Linked DNA regions of Saccharomyces cerevisiae S288C. The protein of the gene in region 1 purifies or fractionates together with the protein of each later gene. This does not show direct contact. Each region holds a gene or a part of one and is shown on either strand. Other genes may lie near its edges. The genes, in order: HEK2 and NAB6.

Region 1 (3,737 bases):
TGAATACGGTATACAAAGGGAAGGAATCGTCTGGATGTGTATTAGTGTTGCTGTTATTATTGGTCTCATTGTTGAAGGACGACATTATTTCTGAAGAATACAAGGTCTCTCCAAAAACCCTAATAATTACCGCTAAATATGCCTGTCAATCGGATGAAGGGAAGTTTCAACCTCAAATGTAAATAAATAGATGTTTAGCGTTTTAGAATAAATAAGTAAATAATTTGATTTTCTATAAAGATGTTAATGCGCCAATACGCGCCGACGGGGTAACGCATTAAAATAACATGGTATTTTCGTTTCATTACAAAAAAAGCACTATATGTACTAATAATTATGCTACACTTGTGTTTATATTGCCAGCGTCGATGTTGATGACAACGCAGAGTTCATACGGTTTTGGTTTTGGGCTTCACTTGTCTCAGTAGGTTGAGGGTTTGTATGAAGTTTCAGAGGCTCCGTTAGTAAATGACCCATTCTTTCTATCTTGGTCCTGAGATAACCTTCTATCTCCTTGGAGTCTATGCCTTCACTGGAGTTTGTCCAGTGTATGGGTACCATAGGCACTCGTTCAACGCACTTAAGGTAAGGCGCATGATCTACCTGTTTTATCTTTTCCGGGTTATTTGTCAGCAGCCTGACATTACCGATGCCAAGATCCAGCAAAATAGCCTTACCCAGCGAGAAGTCCCTAGCATCCACGGGATGTTTCAGCATTAAGTTGGCCTGCACTGTGTCAGCACCTAAGTCTTGCAGGTTGTAGGCCTTGAGTTTCTCACCTAACCCGATGCCACGACCCTCTTGTCTTAGATACACGATAACACCATGGCCGTTTCCACCTTTGATGTTGCTTGTGGGTTCGTGGTCGCAAGCGATAAGCCTACCGGCCCTATCGAATTGTTCACCACAATCACAACGGGCGCTCCATGCGTTTTCACCGGTGTAACATTCAGAATGGATCCGTACCAGCGTGTCGTTATGGGCGTCCCATGTAGTGGCTTTGGAAGCTAATAACTCACCTGTACTATCATCAAACTCCAGAGCTAATCCGAGTCTATCGTCTTCGTCTGCCACAGTTCTGCCGGGATACAGTTTGCCAATATAAGCGCCCCTGATCATTCTATCTTGTTGCGTCTCGCACTGTCTTCTACGGAATAGCGAGCGCGACCGTATGTCTTCACCAAACACAATGGCTAGATGTTCCTTGTTGTCCCTGTTGTTACTGTAAAGATGTAAAAAGATATCCGGACCCTGTGTGGTTGGGATACGAGCTCTTGCGACACATTGTACTAGAGGCAAGCCGCCATCGCCGTTCCTGCCATCACCCGTACCACTAACCTCGTATTTGCTGCTATCCTGTTTACTGTTGTCGTAGTTATCTATGGTCATCCTGTAGGTTTGTTGTAGTTTTATGTACGCCACTTTTTGTAATGACTCAATTATTGTCCACGCCAGCACAGCAACTTCTTTATATATACTATAGCGGCGCTGGCGCTCACCCCACAAGAGCGTCCGACTAATTTCTGACAAATCGTAAAAAGAAAAAGAAAAACTCAAAGGAAAAAGAAAAAGTCTCACCCTACACAACTTGTTTTCAAAAACGGTATAGACCCTACTATTTCTGTTTTAGCCCTATGCTAAGTCTAGACATTACCCTATCCCTTTTAACGAAAGCCCTTTTGTTTTTTTTCTGTGTGTCCGGCCGCTCAGCCAAACAACAAACAAGACTATAATCTGGAGCATAAGTACCCGAGCATATATAACTACTTGGCATACGAAGTAAAAGCATATTGCTCCCCACTCCTATCGCGCGTCCCCTGTACAACAAAGCATCAACTTATCGGGTAACTTAGAGACAGCATTAGTATATATACCAGCCATGTCACAGTTCTTCGAAGCTGCTACTCCCGTTGCAATTCCCACAAACAATACCAACGGCGGCTCCAGTGATGCCGGCAGCGCCGCCACTGGCGGCGCCCCCGTTGTTGGCACCACCGCTCAACCCACCATCAATCACAGGCTTTTGCTGTCATTGAAAGAGGCTGCCAAGATCATTGGCACTAAGGGCTCCACCATCTCACGCATAAGAGCTGCAAACGCCGTCAAGATCGGTATTTCTGAAAAGGTGCCCGGTTGCTCTGACAGGATCCTGTCCTGTGCTGGGAACGTAATCAATGTGGCCAATGCCATTGGTGATATTGTTGACGTGCTTAACAAACGGAATCCCGAAAATGAGGACGCAGCTGAGGGCGAAGCGGAAGAGCACTACTACTTCCACTTTTTGAACCATATTTTACCAGCTCCCTCAAAGGACGAGATCAGAGATCTGCAGCAACTGGAGGACATCGGTTATGTGAGGCTCATTGTGGCCAATTCCCATATCTCATCGATTATCGGGAAAGCAGGCGCCACCATCAAGTCCCTGATCAATAAGCACGGCGTTAAGATCGTGGCTTCCAAGGACTTCTTACCTGCTAGCGACGAGAGAATTATCGAGATCCAGGGTTTCCCAGGATCCATCACCAATGTACTTATCGAAATTAGCGAGATCATCTTGAGTGACGTTGACGTCAGATTCAGCACAGAAAGATCTTATTTCCCTCATCTGAAAAAGTCCTCCGGTGAGCCAACTTCCCCTTCTACCTCATCTAACACTAGGATCGAATTGAAGATTCCAGAACTGTATGTAGGCGCCATTATTGGCCGTGGAATGAACAGAATTAAGAATTTGAAAACTTTCACAAAAACCAATATTGTCGTGGAAAGGAAGGATGACGATGATAAAGACGAAAATTTTAGAAAATTCATAATCACAAGTAAATTTCCTAAGAATGTCAAACTTGCTGAGTCCATGCTTTTGAAGAACCTGAATACTGAAATTGAGAAACGTGAAAACTACAAGAGAAAATTGGAAGCTGCCGAAGGAGATGCCACTGTTGTTACTGAACGCTCTGATTCTGCTTCTTTCTTGGAAGAGAAGGAAGAACCTCAAGAGAATCATGATAACAAAGAGGAGCAGTCGTAGTATATACGTGTGCGTGCGCACGTCCCACACAGACAAAACAAACTATCATCTTAACGAATAATGTTGCATCATTACTAGTTTAAACTGTATTTTTATTAAAGGGAAAAAAATGATTCAATATGTATATATTTATTCATGTATATGTATTTTGAATTAAAAAAAAACGTTTTATAAATACTCAATAAAGCCGTTGTATTTTCTTTATTACTATCGAAATTCTTGCTTTAAACATTTCGCGCATCGCCGGCTAGAGGCACAGAGAGGGAAGGGGAAAATAACATGAAAAAATCGTAAGTTTCTAGGCAATGGTATAAACAAATAAACAATAAACATGCAATTACAGCTCTAGAACACATATTATCTTCATGGATGAATGATAAACTCCAAGAAGAGCATAACGAAAAAGACACCACTTCACAAATTAATGGTTTCACGCCGCCGCATATGAGTATAGACTTTCATTCAAATAACAATAGCAATATCATCGAGACTATTGGCGTTTCCAAAAGATTAGGAAATTCTGTATTAAGTGAACTGGATTCTAGAGCTAGCTCAAAATTTGAATTTTTAAAAGATCAATCCGAACAACAATACAACGGCGACAAGAACAATGAACCAAAATCGGGCTCGTATAATATTAATGAGTTCTTCCAAGCAAAGCACGACTCTCAATTTGGCCAGATGGAGTCGCTAGACACACATTATACCCTTT
Region 2 (5,950 bases), on another chromosome or scaffold:
GCTTGATTTAGAAGCTGACTTATCATGCATGTGAATATAAAAAGATATTCTTGCCATGCATATTTAAAATAGTTTGGGTTCTGCCATTTCTGATTGCTATCTACCATTTCATCTTCAGACTGCGTAAAAGCTGTTGCTGTTAAAGATTCTCCGATATTATTATCTCGTGACGATTTTTTAACAGGTAGTTCTGTCTCATTCTCATACTCACCCTTACTTTCCGTAAGCACAACTAATGACTGATTGCCCATTATTATTACCTGTTTGAGATTCTCTAATTGCCTCTCTTTTTACAATCGTACACTTTGAAAATGTTGTTTTAAACTTAGAATATGCATTTTATTCATTTTATAAAAACGTCTCATTCTTCAGACGTTTATAAACAACTGTAATAGTGTCAACTTTTATATAAAGGTCATCTTACCTGAAAAGTGTAAGTTCTGAAGGTAGAGAAGAGGTCAAGGCAGACAGGATCCTGCGGCTTGACGTCGTCGCTAACGAAACGAAGTAGAAAAAAATTAACAGGTTTGAGTCAGAGAAAATTATCGTTCCACATTGGTGACTCGGTCATTAAGACAACAAGTGCCGGCAATAAATCGCTTACGTAATCTGTGGCAGAATGAACAGGTTAGGTGCATAATACCGCCATTCCATTAGTAATCACTATATTATTTAGTTTATACAAAGAAATCGGAGAAAAAAAGGGAGAAACACCTTGGCAGGCCGCCTTAGGCTTCCTTGGGCTTTGTCTAAATAGTCCGATGGATATGCATTATACTTCAGGCTCAGCACAGCTATACTACTCGTCAGGATGCGTGTTGTCTTCCGCAGAGGCGCCCAAAATATTGGCTGCATACATAAATGTCGAATGTTGCACTTGTGCAAGGTATTGGGCCATGACGTCAGATCCTGGTATCGTTCTATGCCTTGCAAAAGATCCTCTCTTCTTCTTTCTGTTATTTGCTGTTTCGCCATTTGTGAAAATATCTTGCATTGGCGTTTCGTTGTTCTTCGAGTGATTATATGACAAAGTTGAGGGAGCTCTTGGAGGAGCTTGTCTTAATGACGACCTATAATTGAGCTGTGACATTCCTACGGCTTCTTCCTCGTCTTCTATCTTTACTGGTCTCTTACTATTAATGACGGTCTGACTCGAGCTTCTTAGAGTTTGTGATTTTAAAGCGTATTCAGGATCGCTCGGGGAGTGCATAATGACCTCGACGTCTGATGACGAGTCGGAAGATCCCGATGACTTGTTAAATATATCTTCATAATCAGTTTCATCCGATGTCGCACGTTTGACGTCAGAGCTCGCCACAGCGAGACCCAGTCCACCGAAACTTCCAGTCTCATTACCGTTTTCATTTTCAGCCTCTAGTTCACTTTCATTTTCATGCCCAGTATTATTTGCAGTTCCTGTTTCACCACCGCCGTTGTCCTTATGTGCGTCCAGACTAATTCCTAGGGATTCCAAGTTCAAGGGTTTATCAAAAGCCTTTTCCTTTTCATCGATTTCATTCTGCCTCCTCTTTTCTTCCAACTTACTCAAACGTATATTATAGCTCGGTCTTTTAACTTTCTTATAGAATCTTGAATTTTTACCTGCTATCAAATTTTTGTTTATATTGCCACAACGATCTTTGCCGTAGTTTATCAGAAGGCCCTTATAACGGCCACCGAATTTTTCCTCAGTCGCCCTTTTAAGCGTCACTTCACCGGATTCATTTTGTACTGTGGATTCCTTATTCATTTCTTCAACAAGACTAATCGCAGAAGATATATTCATGAAATTTATCCAACAGCAATGGCTATCACTCAAATAGTTAATCTGCTCAATATCACCATAGGTACTAAAGTCCTCTCTTAGTTGTTCCGCATCTGGTAAAGATAGTGTTTCATGCAATTTTTTGTACTGAGGGTCGTGAATAAACTTTTCCTTAAATGCAAACTCTGGTAGGCTTACGTAGACATTCCTACTTGCCCCGATCGTAACAGCCAACGAGATTAATTTCGGTAATGGACCAGAATAATGCCCCCATCCAACTCTCAACATATTCCCATGTAACACTATTGGATCAATAAATGAATTTGCATAGAACTGTACAGCGGATGGAGCTTCGATGAAAGTAACAAAGCATATCTTCTTCTCCGGTATGTACTTAATGCTCTGAAGGATTCCTCCACGCACGACATTACAGATATCCTCCGCCTTTGATCTTGGATTAATGTTTCCTATATAAATTGTTCTATTGCCTATGTCTGAACCCATGGATGATGCCACTTTGGCCGAAACGTTGAAATTTTGCTCCAAACTTTGAGTTATTGGATTCGGCAACACCCTTTGATTCATTTGCAAATTGGGGGATACCGGAGAAGGTGTGGCTATTAACTGTTGAGGTATTATCGCTCCATTGGACTGATTAGAATCATTCATAAACATATGTTCATTTAATGGCAAAGGTGATGGGATATCTTGAGAAAATTGCCTAGAGTTTTCTGTTGTCTTTGAAATTTTGACATTGCTCAAGTGAGTAGAGTGTTCTTCAATAGTTGGTGTTTGATAGTCGCGATAGTTGATTTCTAAATAAGTCCCATCAAGTTCTACCCCTTGAAGTTTCGTCGCAAGCATATCAATCTCTTCATTTAAAGATACAGATGATGACAGACTGGTTAAACTCATATTAGAGTGACCGTATACGGAAACACCAATACTACTATTATTATTGAGTGTGGTGATACCACTCATATTACTTTTATTATTGTTTCCGTTGTTGTTGCTATCGTTATTGTTCCCAGCAGTAACAGAAGGCACCGATAAACGATGTGTGCTCGTTTTACCCTCGTAAATATTAGCAACCGAAGATCTGGCTGAGCTAACTACCAACGGGGCTAGGGATACGTAAAAACATTTAGAAATGCCTAAGTTTTTGGAGTATTTTTTCAAATAATCGAGAACTTCAATAGCCATAGAGATATTCAAAAAGGTTAAAACGGCGTAATTTTCAGGAAATTGATTGGAAGGTACATCTGTGTTCACTAAATCGATAGATTCCAAAATGTATCTTTTGTTTTTTGACCTGTCCAAAAATTGTAATTTCTTTTTGAATAAATCGCTTTTCTCCACGGGGCTTTTGAATTCAATTATAATCGACCTTGTAGCATCTTTGTTCGCTATATTATGATGCAGCGAAGCACTGATCATTGTTGAACCATTGGTAATGTCGGCTTCTTCAGCGTTTTCTGTTAACGCTTCACTCTCAATAAAGGTAGGGAGGCATTTGGGATCATAGTTTAGACAAACAAATTTCAGATTTAGTGCTTCAGATTTCAAAAATGTTTTGAATTCAGATAACCTTTGTAAAATGTTATTGTAAAAGTTCAAACAGTCGCCTTTGGTTAGAAAGCTTATTAGAATGGATAGATTTTTAGTCTCTACATCTTTTGAATCATCGCTCTTCCCTCCTTCAATTAAGTAGGCACTTTCCAGAGTATTGGATTTGACAAAATTTTTGACTATAGAGTGTAAATCAATAGAATGATCCACATTTTCAATAAGCAGCGACCTAGTTCTATAAGCATCATCACCAGTCGGTAGAACCTTGTAATTAATACAAAAGGGTCTTTGTAAAAGCATTTCTGGAAGTATGTCGTCGAAAATGTTATTCCTTGCGAATGTTCTTCTTCCACTGTTGTTCCGGGTGTCGCACCCCTTATTGTTGTTGTGAGTAACATTCCTCGTACTGTTGTTGTTCCTCGAGAAAGAATTTCTCCCCATTCTATAATAGTTCGAGGGTGTTACCATTCCGTTATTAGTATTGTTTTGGTTACTGTTACTGTTTCCGTTGTAACCGTTATGATTAGAAACGGGCCTCGAATAAGCCTTTCTTTTGAGATTAGATGATCTTGCAGAATTATAGCCACTTTGCATGTTAGGCGAGGAAACAAATGGAGATCCCATCAATAGGTGAGATGGAAAAAGACTGGCACCGTATGCAGTATCAAAAGGTGTTGGTGGAATATTAGGTAATGGTGAGTTGGTGTAATATGCTGGGTGTTGAGAAGGACCATATTGGCCGGCACCGTTTACGAAATCAACAGGATGATACATCATTGGATTTCCCACCATGGCGTTCATCCCATTATAATCTTGCTGTTGACGGTATGCGTAATTCGCAACAGGTTTTTTTGAATTGGAATTTGACATATTGGAATCCTCAAAAAAAACAATAGAAAACGGATTCTTGCGAGTCTTGTTCGAGCCGATCAAAAACCCCTTCCTTGATAATATAAACGAACGACGTGAATGAGCCAACTACACCTCTTCAGTCTTTGGGATATCTTCTCTGGATGCTTTTCACGTAACCTGAAACAAGGAAAAAGGGCAGGTTTGTTGTGGTGTTTCTATGCTTGATTTTATTTTTTTTTTTTTAGCCCGTTGAGGCGCAACGAAAGGGGAAGGGTGACCAAAAATAGCACGTAAAAGCTGTGAATAAGGTGAAAGTGACGCTAAATTGAAAGAAAAATCCCAGTGACCATCGAAGCGTTGATTACTGTCTTTCAAACACAAATGTAGGTTGTTTATATATATTGTTTCTTTATTTTAAGCTATGCACTTTCTCCCCCCCAAAAAACAAGCGTATTTGGCACATTAGGGAAATGTGATCACTAGCATATTCTCCCTCGAAAGGTTGGGAGTGTTTGGGCATTTCTTGTGCGCACGGCATCCTCAGATATCCGATTATTTTTACGTTGTTATTTCCTTCAAAAGCATTCAGAGGCTCTTTCTGACGCGTGTCCTGATTATGATCACCCTCGATATAAAATATGTAGTCTAATAATCCACACCATGTATTGGCCCAGTTTGAGAGTCCCGGTTCGCCGTGGCTTCCGTTAGCATTTTCAGGATGCACTTTACCGTAGCCAATCCCATACAAAGATACGCCTTTCACATGTAGTGAATTATGCAACGCAACTAATTGATTTACCAGAGCCTTTTCTTCCTTTGTGGCTGTAAAGCTCTCTGGTTTTGGGTTTTGTGGTTGATCTGAATGGCCTTCGCCCCTAGACTTTTCATCACACTCTTCATCATCCTGGTCACTTTCTTCTCCATTCCTTTTTTTTGAATACCGATACGCTAGTGAGCATTCCACCATAGCTCTTATTGGGCCTTTTAATATCAGTGGTCTTTTCGTTATGGCCAAGTACGGTGGCTCTTCAGGTTCGGTATTGAAATCACCCATCAGTAGGCTATGCCAGCCATTATATTTGGAACATGCTTTAATTTCCTGGATCTTTTGTAAAACCAAGTAAGATTGCCTTAATCTTTCAAATACCCCAAAGGGATGCCAAAATAGGTGTGTATTTGCGACGATAATTCCTCTTGATGATGAATCTGTTATACCCTTGAAATATAGCGATATAATAAGGGCAATATTTTTAGTTCTTGTTCTTGCTGAAATGACATTTCCCGCCAATATATTATCGTAGTCCAGCATCCAATCATTATCTAACTGGAATTTTTTATTGTTCCATGCAACTAGTAGTCCATGAGTTTTCCCTTCATGCCTTTTGAAAATCACATCAAACCCTAACTTATGGAAATTCTCCTGCCAGAAGTTGAGTTCATTGTAATCGACCTCCTGCAACGATACTACATCAGGCCTGTACTTTTTCAATTCGTGGACCAAAACTTTTGATCTCTTATGCCACTTTAACGCTGGTCCACTTTCTGGGAAAAAATCTCTCCTAATCAAGGTTTGTGCTAGAGTATTATAGGTCATTATTTTAACGTCCAATGAATCTTGGGTGACTTGTATGGTCGCTGGCGTAAGACCTTTCGAATTATCATGGTTGATAGGGAGGAATGGTCTTTCAATGAATTGTAAGTCAGGCGTTGGGAAGTCAGGGTCCTTCCCTTGGGATATTAGAGAGTTCCTACGTACCTGTCTCT

What was found.
Region 2: the proteins of HEK2 (region 1) and NAB6 purify together in Saccharomyces cerevisiae (affinity purification with mass spectrometry, with the first as the bait; 2 studies listed by BioGRID). This does not show direct contact.

Annotation. Positions count from the first base shown.
Region 1 is NC_001134.8:158,305-162,041, forward strand, and holds HEK2 (Hek2p), read left to right. Parts: upstream 1-1,879; coding exon 1,880-3,025; downstream 3,026-3,737. Other genes in the region: STU1 (Stu1p), read right to left, coding at 1-85; RIB1 (GTP cyclohydrolase II), read right to left, coding at 352-1,389; SHE1 (She1p), read left to right, coding at 3,395-3,737. UniProt on the Saccharomyces cerevisiae protein: RNA-binding protein involved in the correct localization of transcripts in the cell. RNA localization is a widespread mechanism for achieving localized protein synthesis.
Region 2 is NC_001145.3:32,497-38,446, reverse strand, and holds NAB6 (Nab6p), read right to left. Parts: upstream 4,205-5,950; coding exon 800-4,204; downstream 1-799. Other genes in the region: ATR1 (borate transporter), read right to left, coding at 1-251; NGL3 (3'-5' poly(A) RNA exonuclease), read right to left, coding at 4,596-5,950. UniProt on the Saccharomyces cerevisiae protein: RNA-binding protein that associates with mRNAs encoding cell wall proteins.